Linked DNA regions of Drosophila melanogaster. The protein of the gene in region 3 interacts with the protein of the main gene of each other region in a pairwise test. Each region holds a gene or a part of one and is shown on either strand. Other genes may lie near its edges. The genes, in order: CG34404, CG15580, CG3213 and CG14540.

What was found.
Region 1: the proteins of CG3213 (region 3) and CG34404 interact in a two-hybrid assay, tested with the Drosophila melanogaster proteins (one large-scale study listed by BioGRID).
Region 2: the proteins of CG3213 (region 3) and CG15580 interact in a two-hybrid assay, tested with the Drosophila melanogaster proteins (one large-scale study listed by BioGRID).
Region 4: the proteins of CG3213 (region 3) and CG14540 interact in a two-hybrid assay, tested with the Drosophila melanogaster proteins (one large-scale study listed by BioGRID).

The regions. Positions count from the first base shown.
Region 1 is NT_033777.3:15,363,423-15,369,374, reverse strand, and holds CG34404 (uncharacterized protein), read left to right. Parts: upstream 1-1,709; 5' UTR 1,710-1,940; coding exon 1,941-2,228; intron 2,229-2,552; exon of another isoform or gene 2,553-2,576; coding exon of another isoform or gene 2,577-2,711; exon of another isoform or gene 2,712-2,778; coding exon 2,779-3,028; intron 3,029-3,085; coding exon 3,086-3,415; intron 3,416-3,470; coding exon 3,471-3,604; intron 3,605-3,666; coding exon 3,667-3,968; intron 3,969-4,029; coding exon 4,030-4,740; intron 4,741-4,798; coding exon 4,799-4,931; 3' UTR 4,932-5,442; downstream 5,443-5,952. Other genes in the region: CG14868 (uncharacterized protein), read left to right, coding at 1-309, 362-469, 528-615, 674-812, 869-1,439; CG6171 (uncharacterized protein), read left to right, coding at 5,607-5,952.
Region 2 is NT_033777.3:6,054,189-6,059,405, reverse strand, and holds CG15580 (uncharacterized protein), read left to right. Parts: upstream 1-1,869; 5' UTR 1,870-1,915; coding exon 1,916-2,226; intron 2,227-2,351; coding exon 2,352-3,197; intron 3,198-3,418; coding exon 3,419-3,998; intron 3,999-4,106; coding exon 4,107-4,601; 3' UTR 4,602-4,694; downstream 4,695-5,217.
Region 3 is NT_033779.5:3,516,773-3,521,577, reverse strand, and holds CG3213 (uncharacterized protein), read left to right. Parts: upstream 1-1,926; 5' UTR 1,927-2,114; coding exon 2,115-4,145; 3' UTR 4,146-4,305; downstream 4,306-4,805. Other genes in the region: CG8851 (uncharacterized protein), read right to left, coding at 1-210, 270-1,199, 1,630-1,866; CG17593 (uncharacterized protein), read right to left, coding at 4,603-4,805.
Region 4 is NT_033777.3:25,957,392-25,962,231, reverse strand, and holds CG14540 (uncharacterized protein), read right to left. Parts: upstream 2,954-4,840; 5' UTR 2,757-2,953; coding exon 1,818-2,756; intron 1,761-1,817; coding exon 1,637-1,760; intron 1,570-1,636; coding exon 791-1,569; 3' UTR 546-790; downstream 1-545.

The DNA.
Region 1 (5,952 bases), on a different chromosome or scaffold from region 3:
AACGAGCTGCATGGCGACATGGAACTACTCCGGGAGACGGAGGCCAGCAACAAGTCGCGGGTACAGGCAATGGCCAGCGAGAATGCCGCTCGCAACAAGGAGGAGCTGCAGTGGCGTCGTGAGCGGGCAAACTTTATCTGCCACCTGGAGGGCCTCAAAAAAAGGAATGCCCAGCTGGCCTTCGACCTGAAGGCGGTGATCGATGAGAAGGAGGAGCTGATAACCGAGCGGGATGCCTACAAGTGCAAGGCACACCGCCTAAATCATGAACTCTTTGTGGCCCTCAGGGCGAAGAAAACGCATCCAAGGGTGAGTTAACTGATGCTATATAGTACTTACTTGATAGTTATTGATTTTCCAGCTCCTGGACATCGATGGTGTTTTGCTGGAGAACAAGTACCTGCATGAACGTGTGAAGATCCAAGACAGCGAACTGGAGCTCACCAAACAGAGCATCAATAAGTACAAGGTACTGGTATTAGTTAAGACTTATTACCATTTTATTTATTTATATTTAAATCATTCAGACAATGTTGGATGCAAAACGAAAGAAGGGAATTGTAAAACTTGGCGGTGGGAGCACAAATGAGGACACCATTCTAAGCCCCCGGCAAGGTGAGTAATTATATGGTGGCCACCTCTTTCATGCCTTTCTAATTTGTTTGTACCCTAGTGAAAACAATCCTCGAGAGTGGCATTGAGCTGCCTCAGAAAACCGAGAGCTTAAGCGATCTAAAATCCTTGTGTCTGGCCCTGCTGGACAATCTCAACGACAAGAACTTGGCCCTGACGCACCAAAAGAAGACCAACAAGTAGGAAAATCCAGCTGAAAGTTGATATATATTTCATAAACCCATATTTCCTGCAGAATACTGGCTGGCAAAATGACGGAGCTGGAGCAGCGGTGGCAACAACTCCTCTCCGGAAACGATGACAACGCAGAGGAGCAGGAGGAGGACGTGGAATATGGTTATGCGCCTTCGCAGCTGCTCCTCAATGGCTATTGTGCCGCCATGGTAGATGACGCCGACATCAGCAGCACTCCGTCCATTGAGCCAGATAACGAAGGCGTCGCCATTACAGCGGATCATGAAGATTCAAAGAAGCACAAGTCCGTTGAGGCTCTGCATTCCGACGATGGAATGTCCTCGCTTTCAACGGAGTCCGTGGATTCGTCTGTGTACGGTGCAGATGTGCAGCCCGATGACTTCCAAAAGTCTTCATCCGCCACAACAGATTCGGGCAACTGTGGATTGAGCAGCCGCTGCAACGGCACGCCACGAATATCCAGTGCAGTGGCACGGGAACGTATGGAGGATCTGAAGGACCTGCCGCCTCACCTGGCCACTCTGGTCCAGAAAGCACTTCACGATCTGGACATGCGGGACTACGAGGCTATGGTGACGATACGAGCAGAGAATCTGGCGGCTATTCCTTAGAGAAAAACTAGTTCAATTGAGGACTCCCAAAGAAATGGATGAAACCATATCTCAGTGTTGACAAAAGATATAATACATATATATATTACCGCAACAGCGTACAATAAAACCAGATTATATAAAATAAATCACTTTATTCAATCGATATTGCGTTGAAACTGGATATGTACAATAACTATAGCATACAGTTTTAAAAGACGCGCCCAAGTTATCGATAAATAATATGCGGAGTGTTGCATACCGTTAGCATAAACACACTCTCACACACTCTTATTTCTGGGTATACATTTTCTGATAAGAATGCAATAAATATCCCGACTGGTTGGAGTAATTTCGAGTTTTTGAATTAAAAATGCCTTAAGAAAAGTTTTTAATGAGCCATGTAGAGTTAACACCAGTGCCACATATCCTGGGAATGGAGCACCAATCAAAAGTCATCATCAAGCGGCCCAAATCAGGCCAATTCTAGTCGGAAAGTCGTTGCAGCCGCCCATTGCCACCATGTCGAATGATGTGCAGGTCGCCCGGGTGGCCAAGATAGCTACCGATGTGCCGCGTCGCAGTGGCAAGCAGCGTGACTCCAGCGGATTCCAGGGCAAGCACTCCGGCAGCGCGGCTGGCGAGGATTTCGAGTACGTCTTCGGTAGCATTTCGCCGCGCGGTGGAGGACCCGGTGGCAGGCACTTGGTGGGATCCTCCGACCTGGACTCTCCGGAGCACACGCAGCGGGACACCACCGAGAGTGACAACAACATATCCAGCTGCTCCACGCTAGACATTGTCAACAAAGTGAGTAATGATGCCCGCACTGAGAGAAATAACTAGATCTTAAATCAAAAAAATCAATATATTAATTTGCAATGATACATTGGTACTAAACATGATCAAGTTCATTTTAAATTAATTTTTAAAATGATCACAAAATATTTAAAAATACCTCATTATTGTGTAGTTTAAAATAAGAAACGCAGAATTTTCAATCATTGGTTTTCAAAGTGTTTCGGGCTTTAAATTCGGTTGGCGTCCAGTGCGCAGATGCGTGTGGAAGGCTGAGGGTCAAGTTGCAGCGGCGGAGAGCGCGGATGCATCCGCGGTCGGATGACGACGTAATCGCCAGTCAAAATTTTCCACTGGACCATGATTTCGGAGCAACTGCTTCCGCGCAGCTTGAGCTGCCTGTGCTGCAGCGATACGCCATCGGTGCCCAACGACAAGAGACGCAGTTGGGAGTATACGCTGATGGCTCATCCTCTGGCCAGACGGCCCATAAACGTGATGACCCCAAGAATAACCACTTAGAAAGCTCTAATCCGCCTCTTTTCTTTTGATTCACCTCCAGGTTGAGCAACTGTCGGTACAACAGCTAGAAAACCGGGTGCGGGATCTAACGCAGCGTCTGCAGCAGGCGGAAAGACAGCTCACTGAGAGCAACACAGAGCGGGAAATATGCCACAAGCGCTTGGAGGTTGTCAGCCAGGCCCACGAGTGTCGCATCACAGAGATGCACTGTGTCATCGCCGAGTTAAGCAAGAAATTGCGCAGTAAGCAGGACCACGTTATCATGGAGGAGCAGGAGCCCGACGGCAGCGGTGCGTAGCAGTTTCAAATGAGGGAAACAAACCCCTAACCGACAGTCTTGTTTTCAGAACTCAGCTTTCAGGAGGGTTCAGTGTACAATTCCGAGCTTAACCTCACCAATCCTGATGCCGAATGTCAAACAGAACCACTGGAAGACTTCGAGGGCGCCTGCAGTACCACCAGCGTGGGTAACGTTGCCCACAAACCGCCGGAACTGAGCCATAAGGGACAAGTGGAGGCACTGCAGGAGGAAGTTCTGCACTTGAGAGCTCGAATCGCCCTCCTCCAGTCCGAGATTTCCACCAAGGATGCTGCTGTGGTCGAGGAACAGACCAAAGTCGCCTTCGACTGCGAATCGGAAGTCAACGAGTGCGGACAGCGACTGAATGATTTGAATGGTAATATAAATAATCCTGATGATAAAAGAATGGTTACACATTTAGATGCTTTCAGTTTGCACTTCCTTGACAAGTCCGCAAAAACGCATTCCAGCGGTACCGAAAATGGCTGAACGGGTTAAGTTGCGGTGCGCCAGCAAACATGAATCCGGAGAAGATCCATCCCAAGATACTTCATTGAGCAACGAGGTGTGTTGACCAAAACTTTATTCAGAGAATACATTTCAACCCATACAACCCATAATTTTAAGCAAATTAATCTGGTCGAACATTTGGTGTCGGAGCTAAAGGAGCAAAATCTATATATGGAGAACTTTATGGAGCCCCTACATTTGAGCAAAGACTTGGAGCGACTGCAACGACGTGTTGAACAATTGGAGATGCGAAACACCATGCTGGCACTGACGCTAGACGAATGCAAGGAGCACACTGAGCATCTGTATCTGCTATGCGGAAAGTACGAGTCCAATGCGGTTGCTCTTCAGTTGGCGCTTAATTGCAGTGATCGCGCCATCGAGGCCTACGACGTAATGTTGGCTCTGCTCGAAAGCAAGTAAGTACAATCACCATAAGACGCGGGTTGTTGTCCCTATTTCACAATTCATCACTTCCAGGTTGGCACTGCTGGGGGAGAAATCAGTGGCAGCGGAAGAGAGTCGACGATCGGTGGAGGCGGTGGCCAGGCACCTGCTAGCCCGTTTGGATAGCGAGAAAAACGTTTGTGAGAACAGCCTGGGACCGTGGCAACACAACATCAACCTGGGCCCAGAGGATGCCCCAAAAACTGGCCGCCCGTGGTGTGCCGACGACGACAACCGCCTGCGTTACCACGTCTCCAAGCTGAAGGGACGTCGTTCCAATGTCCAGCATACCATTGTCAGTTTGGAATCACCCTTCAGCGACATATACGAAAGAAAGCGCCTGGCTTTGGAAAAGGAGCACGAACTTCGGAGCGCGGACAAGAAGTCACCCATTGACTTGGAGACAGCAGTGATTATGCAAGAAATACTCGAGCTGCGGGATTCGAATTTGCAGCTGAAGACAAAAATGGAAGAGGCCGAGCAGGAACGGCAGAACGCCAACGAACGAGTGGGCATACTCCACGAAGCCCTAAAGCAGCTACAGGCAAACAACCGGGTCTCGTATTCGGAGGCGGAGCATGCGGCTCTCACAGAGCAGCAGTTGGTGGAGGCCTTAACTCGAGAAACGGAGCTCAAGGGTCGCATACAGACGCTATTGGCAAATGTAACAGCTTCGCAGAAGGCCTTCGACGAAAAATACGAGCAACTGCATCAGAACGTGCGTGAACTGCAGAAATCCAACCAGTAAGATTCGTTTTATTTTGACTGTTTCATACATAATTTCTTCATATTTCCCTTTTAGCAATCTGGGCCAAATGTTAGATCACACCAAGCGCAAGTACCAGCTGCGGGTGAGGAAGCTAGAGCAGAAGATTGTTGACCTGCGGCTGGACTACGAGCAAGGCCATAACCATGTTCCTGAGACTACTCTGTAGGAAACGCATGACGACCTTCCAGGAGGACTGAGCAACTGGGCGTGGAGCGGGCGCGCTTGTCACATATCCCGCAAAAGATCTTTCCCTCTCGATCATATCGCTTATTTTACCTTTAATGCAATGACCACCCGCCCAGCAGTCGCCGTGGATCCGCCATGACCAAGACAGTATCACGAATGTGCCATGCGACTTAATTGCAGTCGGCTGGGGCTTGGGCGGTGTCCCTGCCTCGCAGATAAGGCTGCAGTAACTACATACTCAAATACATACATATTCAGAGGTGCCATGAGCAAGGCTCCACCAACCTATCCATAGATCCGTGGGATTGGAGCATCCGTCTATGGGCCACAAGCAATTACATATACACACATACGAATAGACAAACTAAGGAGTTATTCAAGACGCATACACGGGATCCTATATTTATACAATGTATTCGCATTTTGCTTGTTATATGATTCAATATGTATTTAAAACTGTACAAAATATAAAACGTCTACTAAAACTCGATAAAATTCACGAATTTGAAATTGGCTCCAATAATTAATCGATAAGCTAATGAAACTAACTTAAGCATCCATCACCATTTCGTGTAGTGTTGCAAATCACCAGAATCAAGTATATGAGTACTTGTGAAATAAAAATGTTTTGAAAATTTAACTTAATTTACTTAAAATGAGTGCCACAGATGCATCTACAGCCGATAGTGGCGCTAAACGAAAATCTTCTGAAGATATCACACACAATTGCAACGCAAATTTTGGCGCAGAAAACGGCCTAAGAAAGCGCGTAAAATCGGAGGAGCCTGTGGCGTCCATTAAAGATGAAACAAATCCTGAAGTTCCTATGAAAATAAAAGCTGAGCCAGTGGAGAATGCAGATGAGCCCACAAGCACTACTCCTGCGATCAAGATTAAAGCCGAACCAGCGGACAATGGAAACTCACCTGCAGCTGCGATGGTAAAAACCGAGCCCACTAATAGCAATGCACAGGACGCCGCCGACGAGTCTACCGTATCTT
Region 2 (5,217 bases), on a different chromosome or scaffold from region 3:
CGTGTCGCGACTGAAACTTACATTGTATTTCTATTTGTGAGGCAGCGTCATTTCCGGTTTAGATCGTCCCCGGAGCCAGTGTTGCAAACATGTTAAGCAATCGCGCCAACTTTTTGGTCTTTTCGCCTCAGGGGAAAGGCAAAACTCTGCCGTGAGACGAACGGCAGCTCGTAAATTTCAAAAATTTGAAAACAACAGCGCCGGCAACATATACTTTTCGCGCGCTGGCCGAAATTATTTTAAATCACCTGCTGCCCGGCATTTATCATCAGAGCCAGTCGGACAAGTCGGACTCCCTAACGACCGCAGCCAGTCTTCAGCTCAACTCCCAGGACGACTACAACGGCAGCGAGATTTGCGAAGAGCACTTTATTTTGGCCAAGCCATTGCCACGCCTCCGTCCCCAAGCCCCCATCCACACTCCATCCACGCAGTGAAGTTTTCTCCACCTAACACCGACCCACTCATAATGTCCGCGCTTCTGATGTTATTTTGCCATTTTCGCTCTGGTTTGCGGCTGGGGGAAAACTGTTTTGTTATCACGGTGATAAATGGAAAATTATTTTGAATCGAGCAACTACTTAAAAGAATTCCCAAAGGTTGTAATAAATTTTGGGGCACACACATACACACATACATTCACGTCCGAGAAGGACATGCGAGGAAGGACAAGTTGGTAAGACCGAATCCGAGTTGAGCTGGCTTGGTAATGTCCTTCCAGATAAAAAGGTGATTGACGAAGCGAAAGCAAAAGTCATGGTCGAACTTCCACTTAGCAATGCAGTTGTCGTTCACAGAAAAGGACCAACGACGATGTCGGTGGTTGTGTTGTGTGTAGTGGTGGGCTGGATGGCGAATTTCGTCCTGGCATGCACTTAATTTGTACTGGGAGCTGGGGACCTGGGGCTCCTCCACTTGCTCTGAAGAAATACTCCAAGTTGAGCATATTCACAAAGCTTTGCAGAGCCAGGAATGCTATAGGTGCACACCGTGCCAAATTATTTCCTTACAACTTTAAAACTAAACATTTTATTATATGATACATCCTGGAATATAGCCCACATAGGTAGGAAGTAACAGCTCTTCCGGGAAAATATTATAGCTTATCAACAGTACCACTATAATTAAATAATAATAAATATGCATTAAAAATATAAATATTTTATATGTCCTGGTCACAAGAATTGATACAAAGTCGTTTGGTTTTCTTAAGTGCAGCGTCTTTGTTGGCAGGAGCAGCTACATGCACTATGGAAACCACTTCCAAACTGGGGGCCATCTCCGATCCAGGCACAAAGGCACCCGGACAGGACGAGCACACTCAGCGAGCAGCTCTAACAACATCTATTTTTATTTCATTAGGTAGAAAAATAGCCGGCAAGGTGAAGCTCCTGGCAGCTTCGCCATCAAAACAAAGCGCTGAATATTGGCCAAAACGGAATGGAACGGGGCGGGCGAAGCGGGGCTGGCCACAAAAAGAAACTGCTCTTCGCTTCTCAATTAGGTTAGCTTAATTTAAATTTGCTTCGAGTGCTTGGCAAGTGCTTGCGAGACATTAGCAGCAAATATTAGCAAACGCTTAAAGAGCGCCGTAAGTGGAAAATATCTTAGGCGAGTTTTCTTAAATTAGCCGTTGTAAACATTTGTTACGCACTCGGGTCGGGATTTAGAGTGTCTTAAATGAAAACCGGACAGTTTTTAATGAGGAAGTACGTTTGGCAGGTGCGAGATAACTAAAACATAAAACATGTTCATTGGAGTATGAAGATAGACAAACGGCACTTCCATAAATGTATTAAGGTGCACTGGAACACATGGGTTAAAACCATGTTATACTTATCGATCACTTTCAGAAACAAACTTCAAAAAAAAAGACTTTCAACGCACAAACAAACATACTCGAAAATAACTCCATATGGACTTTGAAGATGATGAGGAGGTTGTGCAACCGCACTATGCTCAGAAATTCCGGGCTCCCACCGATCCCCTCCTTCTGGCCACATATGAGCTTTTTAAGCCCTCTCATCAGACCTTGAACCTATACAGCGAACGGAATCGCGAGATTTTTGCGGAGGCCTTTATAGAGGGAAACTTGAACACTTTAGTCAATCTGAGCGTAAAGAGTCTGGCCAAGCTGGGCATTCGAGGCATATCTCCAACTTTGCAGGCGAGTCCCCAGCTTATGAGGATATTTTACGACGCACTGGATGTGGAGCTGCCTTTGAGGTATGTAACGAAACGGATACAAGTATTTTCATTACATAACCTATAATTTAACATTTGACGCCACTAACTTTATATCGTTATTTACTATGGTTACAAACCCTAATAACTTTATATATATTTCAAAGAGATTGCTATTTGATCGAGGATCAACGATTTTGGCGACGCGTCGTACTAAGCAAGACTTTGGACAAAACGTTGCACCTGAAGCGCTGGAACGAGTTCGACTGGAAGGCTGAGGGTGTGAGCCGGAAGTTTGTGGAGCAGGTTGAATCATGTCCTGTGAACGTGAAGCCGCAGAGAAGGCTGGCTCAGTTGGCTGAAATTGTTTGGCAGTATGTCAACTCCATGCACATCCGCAAGCTGCAAGCTCTGCCCGACTATGCCTTCATTAAGCACTTGGAGAGCGAGCCTGAAGAGGATATATCCTCGGAGTCATCCGACGAGGAGGAGATATCTAGCGATGAGCCGGATACGGAAATGGACGAGGGCGAGGAGGAGCACAAGTCTAGTAGTTCCAGCAGCGAGGCAGCTATTACTTTCTGGCGTGCGGAAACCGAGAACGAGGACACAATTCGCCGGAATGCGCGACATCTGCGCAACGCCAACCGCCAGCAGGCTCGGGATGCCATTGCTAGGAAACGGGAGGATCGCAAGGAGCGCAAGAGGAAGCGCCAGGAGAAACTGGACGCCTTGAAGAATGCGGATCAATCGGGCAAGAAAAAGAAGAAAAAGAAGAAGGAACCGCCCATTCGAGACGTGTTCAGCATAAACGTTGCTCCAGAAGAAGGTGATGACGAGGACACAAAACCGGACAAGCGCAACAAGCAGCTGCTGCTGGAGCGGATCAAGCGGTATGACTATCCGGAGGACCATTGTCATCACATTGATCTGGGATTTGTACGATATTTTGAAAATATGATGTCTCTGACGCTGGAGTTTTTGGGACCACCTGATGTAAAAGACTATCAAAGGTAAGCTCTTAAATTAGAATGTTATGGTAAGAAACAACATCGAAGAAGTGAAACGTGCTGTACACGATTTGTATAACATGTTTTCTCTGAGATAAATGGAACCAAATAAATACATGTGAAGTAGAGTTCTAAAAGCGCCAAGAGTCTACAGCTGCATCGCCTACCACCAGCATTTAAATTAAAATTGCTAGCTTAAACTTAACTTAACTTGTACCTTACAGCCGTTATATGAAGTTCTCAGACAGTGATATGGTTCGTCTTAGCAAAGGTCTGAAATACTTACCGAGCCTCAAGACCTTCAGGCTTCGAAACAGTCGCCTGAGTATGAAGAAGTTTCGTATCCTGACCCGTGCCCTTCAGAACTTAGACACCCTTGATGAGGTGGATTTTGGTTATGACCAAATGACGGATGAGTGCAGCGAAGGCCTGGCCTATTTGCTAAAGCGCCCTTTGATGTACCGCAGTATCCAGCTGGAACACAACAAATTGGGCGCCAATTGTGCAATTGTGCTGGGCGAGGCGTTGAGCCAATCGCAAGTGGGGGTTTTGGAGTATCTGGGCCTGGCTCACAATCCGCTTAATGAATTGGCCCTGCATTCGCTCATAACGTGTATTATCGGAACCCCCCATGTGTGGGCCCTCAACATTTCGGGGATCAACACCACCCTGGGTTCGTTTTCCCGTGATATAGGAACCCTCCTGCGCAGCCACACTCCTCTGATGAGCCTCGAAATGGCCGCCATCAACATTGGCATCTCGCAAGGGAATCAAATACTGAGATCCCTGGAAAAGAATACCCGAGTAAGTATAACATTGAATTAGGTTGGATCGCTGATAATGACCACTTTTGCGAAAGGGGTGCTGAAGATCATTTTTAACTGAGTATTGAACTTACATTCCTATCCTAAGATCCTATACGCCGACTTCCGGGAATGTGAGCTGAGCTTCGACCAGGAATTCGAAGTGGACATGATAGTGCGTCGGAATAACTACATTCATGAAAACCTCCACCACGGCGAGAATCTGTGTAAGGTGGTCAAGGAGCGCCGCCATCCGATTGTCCAGCGAATCGAGGAGGATTTCGCCCGGCGGAAGGGGTGCACGGAGGTGCGGCCGAAGTTCTCGAGCTCCAGCAAGGAATCCATTCCGGAGGTGGTCGTTGAGAAGAAGGAGGTCGAGGAGGAGGGCGACATCTGGGCAATGTTGGCTCGGTGGAACCAGCCGACAGCGCCTGAAGTGAGGGAATCGCACACTTCAAAGGATTCGCACCCCTCTCAAAATGGAAAGACAGAACCATTTGTTTTCGAACCCAACAAGTTCGATCTGGACCAGTTCCGGAAGTCTGTCTTTCTGCCAGGCCCTGGCAATCGCTTTTTCTACCTGCAAAGGAACAAAACTCCCTAATTTGTAGCCCTTTTCACCACCTACAATTGTACATTGCATAACATTGTACTCTGAGTATATTTTCAAAGCATTAAACGCACCACTTAGCAGTCCAACATAGTCCCTATCATTCTCGAGGGCTTGGAATGTCATTCGACCTAATGGTCACTTTAAACCTTCGCCATAAAGTGCCGCGCTGGCATAAACTGAGATCTAATTAAGTCGCTGGCAACGTGTTCGCCTTGGAGCCACGCCCACAATTCCGGGGGCCACACCTCGACCGAAGGTCATTGCAGAGCACAGCAAGTGCAACAAAGTTGAGCAGTTTGCATTTAAGCAGCGGAGATTTGGGCAACAGTGTCTCCAATTTAATGCCACTTCCCCTGGCTACTTCTGCCTTCCAAGCTCCACAGTCAATTCCATAAAATCGTGGGCGTACACTCGGAAAAAATAGTATAATTTCCATGTTGATAAAACAAACTAGAAAGCACTTAAAACACCAGTCCTAAAAACAGCATGTTAAATCCTTTTAACACTTTAGTTAAAAGAATTTTTCAATTCATATTACTTCATTTGAAGACTTAATTTCCAATGTTAACTAGCGGTGATTTTATTGGAAGGCTTCATTTCTTTTAAA
Region 3 (4,805 bases):
CTGCTTCTGGGTGCTCATGATGTCCTGGGCTTTCACACACCGCGTGTGGTAGTCCGATATTCTCTCCTGCTGCTGCCGAATGAGAGTTCGAAACTGGACCTGCTCGCTCTTCAGTCCCTTAATGGTGGTAAGGAGCTGGCTTATATCTCCAGAGTCCCTGTCCCTGTCTCTGTCCCTACCTCGATCCCGTTCATGCTTGTACTTCTGATCCTGATTAAGGAAGAAGGTTTAAGTTTTTATATTCCATTTAGCTAACAGCTAATTCATACCTGTGAGGTGTTGATCACATCCTTCAGCACATTGTACACATCCTTGAAGGATGCTGGCTCCCTTTCCCGATCGTCCTGCTCCAAGGATCTCTTCCTGCGCTTCACGTGACGGTTCGCCAGTGTTTCCACAATACGGCTGTCAAAAACGCTGTTCACCTGTGATGGCAGATCGTCCTTGTGCCGATGGTGATTCTGCTGATGAGTACTCCTTTCGGACGCGTATTTCTTTCTATCGATTTCGTCGCAGGAACTCTGGCCCGATAGAACGGTCATGAAACTGGTATTGCTGCGCAGGATTTGGGGGCTCTTTCGTCTGATGGTCGTCTGCGAGGTGACACTGCTGGCAGAGCTATAAAATCCATCCGGATCGGGCTCACTTCCCAGATCCATTTGCTGGGCCTGCTTCCTGCTGGACACGAACTGATCGTGCTTCTGCTGCATTTCGCACAGCTCGTAGTTAATTTTCATGTACTTCTCCTCCAGATCCTTGGTGCTTTCGTTGTAGTCCTTGAGCTCCTGCTTGTACTTGCAGAGTTCCTCCTTTAGCTTGCTGCCAAGGGCTTCCGAGTCTGGCAACCTCCTCTTCGAGCCCAAACCCTTTCTGTAATCTTCCGGCTCTTCATCACTCATGATTAGGCTGACCTCCTTACCTTCCCTGCTGTTCTTGGGTAATTTTGTTATACTGGGACTACAGTGGTCCCCGAAGTCCAAGCTACTGGCACTTCTCGTATCTAGTACTTTGGAGCTCGGCCTGGAGAGGCTGACATAGCTACTCTTTTCATTTTCATCTGCCTGATCTTCGTTCTTCTCATCCAGCTCGAAGTCCAGTCCCATTGAGGTGTTACTAGATGATGTTCCTTTGCGATTCTGTGGACGGAATCGAAGTGATCGTTGTCTGTTGGCTAATGGTCGCCTGGATGGCTTTAACATCTACGAAAATTTAGCCTATTTGGTTAATGTTGCACTTGTGTAATTTTTTGCACTGTTTTTGGCGAACAGAGAATTTTTTTAAAAACCTTATGTGACACATTCAATTCCCAAAAATATTAATTTTACGTAGGACGTGACGAAAATTATTTGATAGAAAATTGGGCGTTACGCCTACTCGAATGGCATTTGCCTTCTGGAAAATATCGCTGTTCGAGGATTGATTATATCCTTAAGGTTTATATAATAGTTTTAGATAATAAACCACATCTCCCAGTAGAGTGATAATTTATATATGTATATTCCTACTGATTGCCCTTTAAATTTCCCATTTCACCGTAAAACATTTTCATACTTTTATGTTAGTAAAGGATACAGGTAGATTCTCATAACATATTTTCGAATAGATTTAAAATTATTTATTAAGATATACCATTTCCTTCAAGTCGCACTGTGTTTTGATTTTGAACCAATTCAAGTAGCGGCAGTAGTAAATATAGTTGTTTGTTTCGCCGAATAGATGCCTCGATACACACTCCTCCCGAAGGACACATTCCTGACCATCCTGGGAGGGAGGACTCCGGTAATCCACCTCGACAAAGCAAGTCCTCGATCCCAATCCAGTTCTCCGGGATCTTTCGTTCGATTCTCCCAAGTCGAAGCAGGCCATTCCAAATCTGTTGCCAACTGCCCAGGGCGAATGTCCGTGGATTTTTCAGTTCATTTTATTCGATCACGAAGAAAACAACTTATTCTTCCCAAAACTTGTTTCGAAATTTTTTCAGAGTATGTGTTAAAATTTTCGCAGAATATACGTACCTTAAAATCGTTAGTAAATCTAGCCAAATATAAAAAAAAAAAAAAAAAAATTTTAACCATACAATTTTTGGCCGCATCGATAAGTGAATCTAAATCGCGATGGCAGAGAACACAGAGTACACCGATGAGGGCGGCGAGTACGAGGACGATGAGAACCAGTACCTTGGCGAACAGCACATGATGGAGGAGGGGCCCGACGAGGACCTCTTCTCCAAGCTGGGCGAGTCCTCCGACGATCCCGAGCAGAAGCGCATGTACATGGAGTACCTGGCGCTGATCAAGGAGATCGATTGCCAGAACAAGATCATCCAGGACATCAAGAGCAACATCATGGACATGTGCGCCAAGCCCTGCAAGACCCGCAACGAACTGCGCGAGATCAAGCGGTTGAGGATTTGCATGGAGCAGGAGAACATTAAGCTGCACACCATGATGAACAGAGCGGTGCAGCTGCAAAACTTCGGCTCCCATCGGCACTACAAGGAGCTGGCCATGACCACCACCGTCGACGAGGACAACCTGTCACCGTATATGTGTGGCATCGGTCCTTGTGCTCCAGCTGGCAGCGCCACGGATCCCTGTAGCGAAGAGCCTAGCTCGTGTGCCAGTGTTTGTGGTGGCGGCGGAGGCGGTGGAGGTCAACGGGACATGGCTGGTCAGGACGACAAGTTGATCTGCGCTCTGCAAAAGGCCATGCAGAAGATGAAGGGCGCTTGTCCTGAGGACAAGAAGATGATCGAAGAGATCGCCTGCGCTATAATGAGCTGCAAGAAGCAGCCGGTATGCGTTCCGGGTCCCTGTCCGCCACCACCCTGTCCGGGTCCTTGCCAAGGTCCTTGCCCGGAGAGCAGCAGCAGCAGCATTGCCCCATGTCCTCCTCCCTGTCCAGCCAAACGGAAGGCTCAGAAGGCTCCCTGCCCCCAGCCCCAGCCCCAGCCACCGGGCAAGTGCGAGTCCTTGGAGAAACTGAAGCGGCGCATCCAATGCATGCAGACCTCGGTGAAGAAGTTGCTCCAGGAGGTGAGCAATCGGGATGCGTCCGAACCCTGTGACGTCGACGACGATGACGATGAAGGAGAGGAGGACCCCTGCTCCAGGCCGTGTCCTCCCAGGCCGCCGTGTCCCGAGGATCCAGACCCACTGGTCATCTGCGGCGGAAAGCGGAACACCAAGGCCGACAAGTACGAGAAGATGAAGGAGAACTACACCAGGCTGCTAACCGAGTTTCAGCGCAAGGACTGCCAGATGAAGGAGATGCAGAAGCGAATGAAGGGTATCTGTGGTCCCTGTCCATCGAAAGGGGGCGACGGGGATGCCGATGCCGCCGAGCTGAATCTACTTCGAGCGCGGGTCAACGAGCTCAAGGAGGAGCAGCTGGAGTTCAAGTGCATCATGAAGGAGCAGTCGCAGCAGTTAGAGGACTACCGCAACAAGTACCTGCTGGCCCAGCAGAAGGTCGAGGAACAGTGCGTCTCCCTAGAGAAGCTGAACATGAACAACAAACGAATCGAACAGCAGATCAACACGGAGGTCAAAGAGATTCGAGCTAAGTTCCAAGAGAAACTGAACGAGTTACTGCACTTCCCCAAGCTCTTAGAGAACGAGCAGCTGAAGCTGGCCCAGGTTTGCAAGGAGAAGGATGAGATGCAGACGAAACTGGTGGTGGTCTGCAAGGAGCTCAAGGCCTGCAAGACGCAGATGGAGCAGCAACCCAACGTCGATGTGCGACCTCAGCTGGCCCAGTGCCAAATGGAACTGACTCAGGCCAGGAATGAACTGGAGGAGCTTCTCCGACAGAGGGATCTCTTCTGCGAACAGCTCAAGTCCACCCAAGACGATCTGGACACTCTGCGAACTGAATCCGCCAAGATCATAGCCGGCACCAAGGAACGGGCCGAGCTGATCAAGTCCCAGCAACAGGAACAGATCAATCGGCTTGAGAAGGAGTTGGCTCAGTGCCGAGCAACTGCCTCGCTGTCGGTCAACGATCGGGAGGCTGTCATCCGCGAGATGCAGGGTCAACTGAACACACTCTCCTACAGCTTCGATGCCGCCCAGAAGCAGATCAAAACGCTGCGCAATCACATCGCATATGTGTCCAACGAAAACTGCTTCCCCGTCAAGTGCTAAATGGGAAGAGATTCGGAACCATTTCGAATTCACATGCATATTCAGCATAAGGTGTCTGTGAAAGATAATGTAGCTTGCGTTCGAAAACCATTCACAAAGCATATAAATCATTTTGTAACGAAAATTTTAAATATTTCAATAAATATATAAGTATTTTGGCAAATACTTGCGTTCCTTTTATATCGTTGAAGTATTTAACCTAATTCATTTTATAGATTAAGGTTACAAAACTTATCTTGCTCAACGAAGAGATAGGCTGCTTATCTGCATTTAAACAGTGTAGTACTTTGTATGATCCAGATTAAGTTGGCACAACTGAGGTTTTTGTTTTGGCGCTCCATAGGAAACAAATAGATATTGCTTTATTCTGGCATTTGAGAGGAACATCTACAAATGGTCGGTTTGTGTACGTTAATGAGGTGCGCTCCTTGCGGCAAATGGCACAATTGAAACAAATCTACAGGGATTTGACGGCCAGTCTCTTCATCTTGGGCGCATTCCTCTTGGCCTGGCGCTTCTGCTCCTTAGCCTCCCAACGGCGCTGCTTCTCTGGGTCCTCGTCGGCCAGAATGCGCTCCTTCTCCTGCTTACGCTTATCCTCACGTCTCTGAGCGGCAGCCTCGGCGCGGGCGGCATGGGTGCTCTTCAAGAACTCCTCCT
Region 4 (4,840 bases), on a different chromosome or scaffold from region 3:
TTTAATTCACGTCAAACGCAACATCAGTTGAAAAGTAAGCATTTTCATTTGGCCACGTTGCATAAGTTTAATTTAGAGCTCAATTCCTTTAGGGGGTTTAACTTTAATTGCCCAAAAAGCAACTATATGGCCTTATTAAGCTGTTTGGCTTTTTATTTAAATACTCATTTTACTTTGAATAGACGCACCAATATCTTACCGACGGACCACGTCCACGTTTAAACTGTTTTGGCCAACTGAACTAGCGGAAGAACTTGCAGAGCCGCGACACTCGTAAGCCCATAAAAATGCAGCTGCAGGTTAGGGCTAGTGGGGGTGGTCTTAGGCCTTATTTTCCACTCGACTCAGTTTTACCCGGTTGCCGGATGGGGGTGATGCCTTGTTTTGGCCAGCTCAGTTGATTCTTGCTTTGCAGTCAATATAATATGCACTTATTAGTGACACCAATGGGCATTACTCAGCGAGAATCGGGATTGCCAAGGGCCAAATAGGTCAGTTTTATGCTCAATGTAAGCTGTTCACATAACATAAATAAGAATATGAAAGCCAGTTTTAAATTTTGAACATAGTTTAATTGTGATCCTAAAAATGAATTAAATGAATACATGTACGCCAGGTACGATAAGTTATAGTTAATTTGTCGAAACATTTGATCCAATTTTTTTTGGCTTTACATTATCAGAAATAATTTAGGTCATGCCAAAAGTAATATTTAAATAAGTATTAAGGCGATTTCTAGGAATGGGTTCCCCTTCAGTTTGAATGCTCCTTTATCTTCACTCCAGTGGCTTTACTGACCATCTCCGGCGCCTTGGTTGGCTCCCCTTCGATTTAATTTGCGGTTGGGCCGGCTCGTAGTTGCTCCACTTGGATACTTGAGGCCACAGTCATCGTCCTCGCTGCCGGTCGAGATGTCCGAGGAGAGCTGGAAGTCATCCACTTCGGTGTAGGTCTCATCCGTACTATCGTTGGGCGTTTCGATCTCCGTGTCGTCAACCTTTTTATTTTTCTGACTACCTGCGAGGGTCCTAGAGCTCATGGCTGCTGGCTGACAAAGTCCACCGTTTGAATTTTTCTTGGGTATCAAGATGTCCTCGAGACTGGGCAGTTCAGCCGACATCTGACCATTCATATCCTTCACCTGATTGCAGTAGCGCTGGATATTATCCAGGACTTCTTGCACGCCCACATCAGATGATTTTACAACTAAACTTTGCTCCGATGACGACTTTTGTGCAGCAAGAACTGGCTGCTGAGCTTTGCAGATGCTACGATAGGCACTGGAGTTCATTAGGGACTCGTTATGGTCTTTTTTGGCGCTAATAGGCATTTTGCTTTGATTCCTAATCACTTTTCCTGGTTGTTGTTTTAAACTATGCGACGGTTTCTGTGTCAGATTCTGACTGACTGAGGCCGCTGCTTCTAAGTTCGCCTTCGAAAGACTCAGCATTTCCTGAGTGGGCTTTCCATTCATCAGCGATTGATGCTGGTAAAACATTTTATCGTACTCGGATTTCATGCACAAGTACCGAAAGTGTCGCGAATTTTCCTCACCGAAGTAAATTACCTCTGCAGATGCCAAAAAATAGTTACATATTATAAATACCAAATAAACACTGAAAGTAAATAAACTCACTGCTAATGACTTGTTCCTGCAGCTTATCCAGGTTATCGTTTGTCTGCTTCAACTCGCCCGAGAACCTTTCGATTTTGTGGCTCAGATCGCGAAAGTTCTTTGCCAGAGCATCGGATATGGTGTTCTAAAGAAAGTGCATAGTGTATTAACTAATCAACTAAGGAACTTATGCGAAACTCACGCCAACGGCCGTTTTGACAGTCTGGCGGATCAGGTCAAAGAACTCCTCAGGATCTTCCTCCTTATCTTCATCGTCATCGGCGGTACTCACGTGCACCTTGCTCGCCGGAACAGGCTGTCGCCCACGCATCTGCTTCTGATGCGGATGCGGATGCTGATGCTGATGCTGATGCGGTTGCGAATGCTGGAGGCGCTGCTGTTGCTGATGCTTGAGGTGGTTGTGAGTAGTCATCTGCTGCTGCTGGTGCAGCTGGTGTTGCGGCGGATGCTGCATTGCTCCGGATTGCAACTGCATTTGCATTTGATGGGCATGAGAGTGCGGATTGTGCCGGCGCATATTTCCCATGTTTCCCTGCTGGGGCACCATTAGTTCCTTATCGGAGTAGTCGTCGTTGTCATCCATTGGATAGTCGTTCCTCTGGGTATTGCCCTTTTCGCGGTGCTTCATTCGGTATGTCTCCTTCGACTTGGACATGCCATAGCCATTAGGGTTTACCGTGCCTTCGGCCGGGCTAAAATGCGGCACCTTGTTCATCGGCGCCTGACGAGCACTGGCCTTATTGGCCATTTGGTTTCGCCTCGAGGGCATGGCGTTATATGGAGATGGCTGGACATGGCCGGGAATCATTTGCGATATTGATGGCTGCGCCATCGAACCGGGGGCATTTCGCAGATTGGCCGCCGTCAACGGCAGATTGGTGGTGATGTAGTAATCATTTTCGGTGACAAAACTGCGCTGAGTGCGAGCATCGACTTGTCGGGAGCTAATGGTTCCTCCACCGCCAGTTGCACCGCCTGGACCCGATCTCTCAGCCCTTGCTGTTTTCTTGGTCACACCTGCATGGGATATCGCTACCGACTTTACCGGATGCAAGGAATCCATTTTGGAACCATAGACCTCCTCGATTCCCTTGCGACGAATTGGGCGCACCATCTTCATCCAAAGGCTCTTTACTCACCGAAACAAACTTTCGTTGGCCTCGAGTTGCACCAATAAACGCAAAAGCACAATAATGTATAAACTGTATTTGATATATTTTACATCTATTTATGTTCTTTGGATGATTTAGCTAAAATGAATGAGGGATATAGAAAGATAGTGAATGTTATAACACCAGCCTACTGGATAGATAGATTGGATAAATATTACTCGTGTGAATAAACTGAAACATTAACGACATACATTTTCGTCGCATTTCGCATTTATCAAAATAATCAGAAATAATCGTTATTATGGTTATTTGTCAAATTTTGATTCACTTCCTTATACGAAGAGTATGAGTTGTACAATATATACATATTTACCACGGAATGATAGATCTCTGCACCTAAATCGCATTCATATTGATTACTCACTCCAGCGCTTCGTTTCTACCAAATTTATTTTCACACCTCAAACACCTCTTCATTATTCAAACCACAGGTGGTGAGGGAGTTTTCCCGTAAATTTGTTTACCTTTTGCCGCTCAACTAACCGCAAATGGCAATGACACAGAGCAAAGGTTCAATGTTTGCCCGCTTTGCCGGAAATATTTCTTCGGTTCGACGCCAAATCAAATGCTAATGAGCTGCATCTGATTGTGAGTGCGAAAGTGGTTTTGGATACCACTTGCTGTTCGCTTGGAAGTGGTTCATCGTTCAAGAAATTATTACAAATATTTATCCGATTATTTACCTTTGAACCTCCTCGGGCTGCCGTGTATCCAAGGCGAATGATTCGAATGCGTGGCATGGCCACGCTGGAGGAATCCTTAAGTAGGCAACTAGCTTTAAGGTCATGTCTGGACTGCTGAAAATAGACCGCTTAGCCTCAGGTTACAGACACTTAAGACATAAAGGGAATGCAAAGCGAAAGGGATTTAGAAAGGCGCTCAATAAAGTGCTGAAGGACCCTTAAAAATTGGGTCATCTGTCTGTGGGGACGGTGCCTTGAAACGGAAAACCCATGATGCCCATGCCAACTCCTTGTCTCATGTCCTCATTATGCAAATTGCGCATACGACGCGTGTGCTGCTGCCCACTGCAGGAGGCCTTCTCCCCTTTCCGCAAGCAAATCATTTTGTTGACAATCTGTTGCATGCGAATGCTATTAGGAACGAGATGATATCTGTGGGAATAATTTTCATTTAATGTACACCCTTTTCATTTTCTCTTCCCCTAAACGACCCCAAGAACAGCTCATTTAATTCGTTTTGTGTGTACCCTAGTCATAAATATAAATGAACCATGAACGGCCGACAACAGTTGACTATAATTTAAGATCCTGGCCTGCAGTTGAGCCTTGAATTTCCATCCTCTGCATGTGTGCGCATAAATATTGCAACATTCGAGGAAGCAACAAAGGTCAGACAGGCTTTATTTGTTGCAAATGCGCAGAGAAGCTGCCATTAAGCCTTTGAGTCCCATCTGAATGACGTTCATGTTGACATTGTCATGGTGATACAAAAAATAATCACCATTATTAGTTGTTCCGGCCAAACTGACTTGATTGGCCACTGATTCTATGCCATAGACTGTTTGGACTGATTATCAGCAAAATGCCAACTGACTTACAGAGCAAAACGTGAGCCATTCCAAAATTAATATAAGTCATTAGCATTATGCGGAACGATAAATTTTAATGGGACTCGGCATTAGAATTGCTTAAGGCGGAGATATTTCCAAGAAATTTATCACCCAAAAAAGTCGCCCCGCGGCGCAGATAAATCATCCAAATGGTGACCACAAATTGTACAGCTTTCGTAAGGCACATGAAATACGAAATGTTTGCACTGGCACTTCTTTATTTTTAATTGCAGGCCCAGTCAATTAAAAGGCAAGTGAGTGTTGCAGCATTTCTCTCACGCATAAATTTGTCCCCTGTCAACAAGATCCTCAAGACTTTTCATGATTTTCCGAATACTTTGCCACTGCCCACCCATAAAACGTCACTTGCACGATTTAAGGTATCTATTTTTGGTTTGATGGCAAAACATTTAATGAGAATTTCTAAACAGAGCACTTTTCTTGTTAAATTTAATCAGT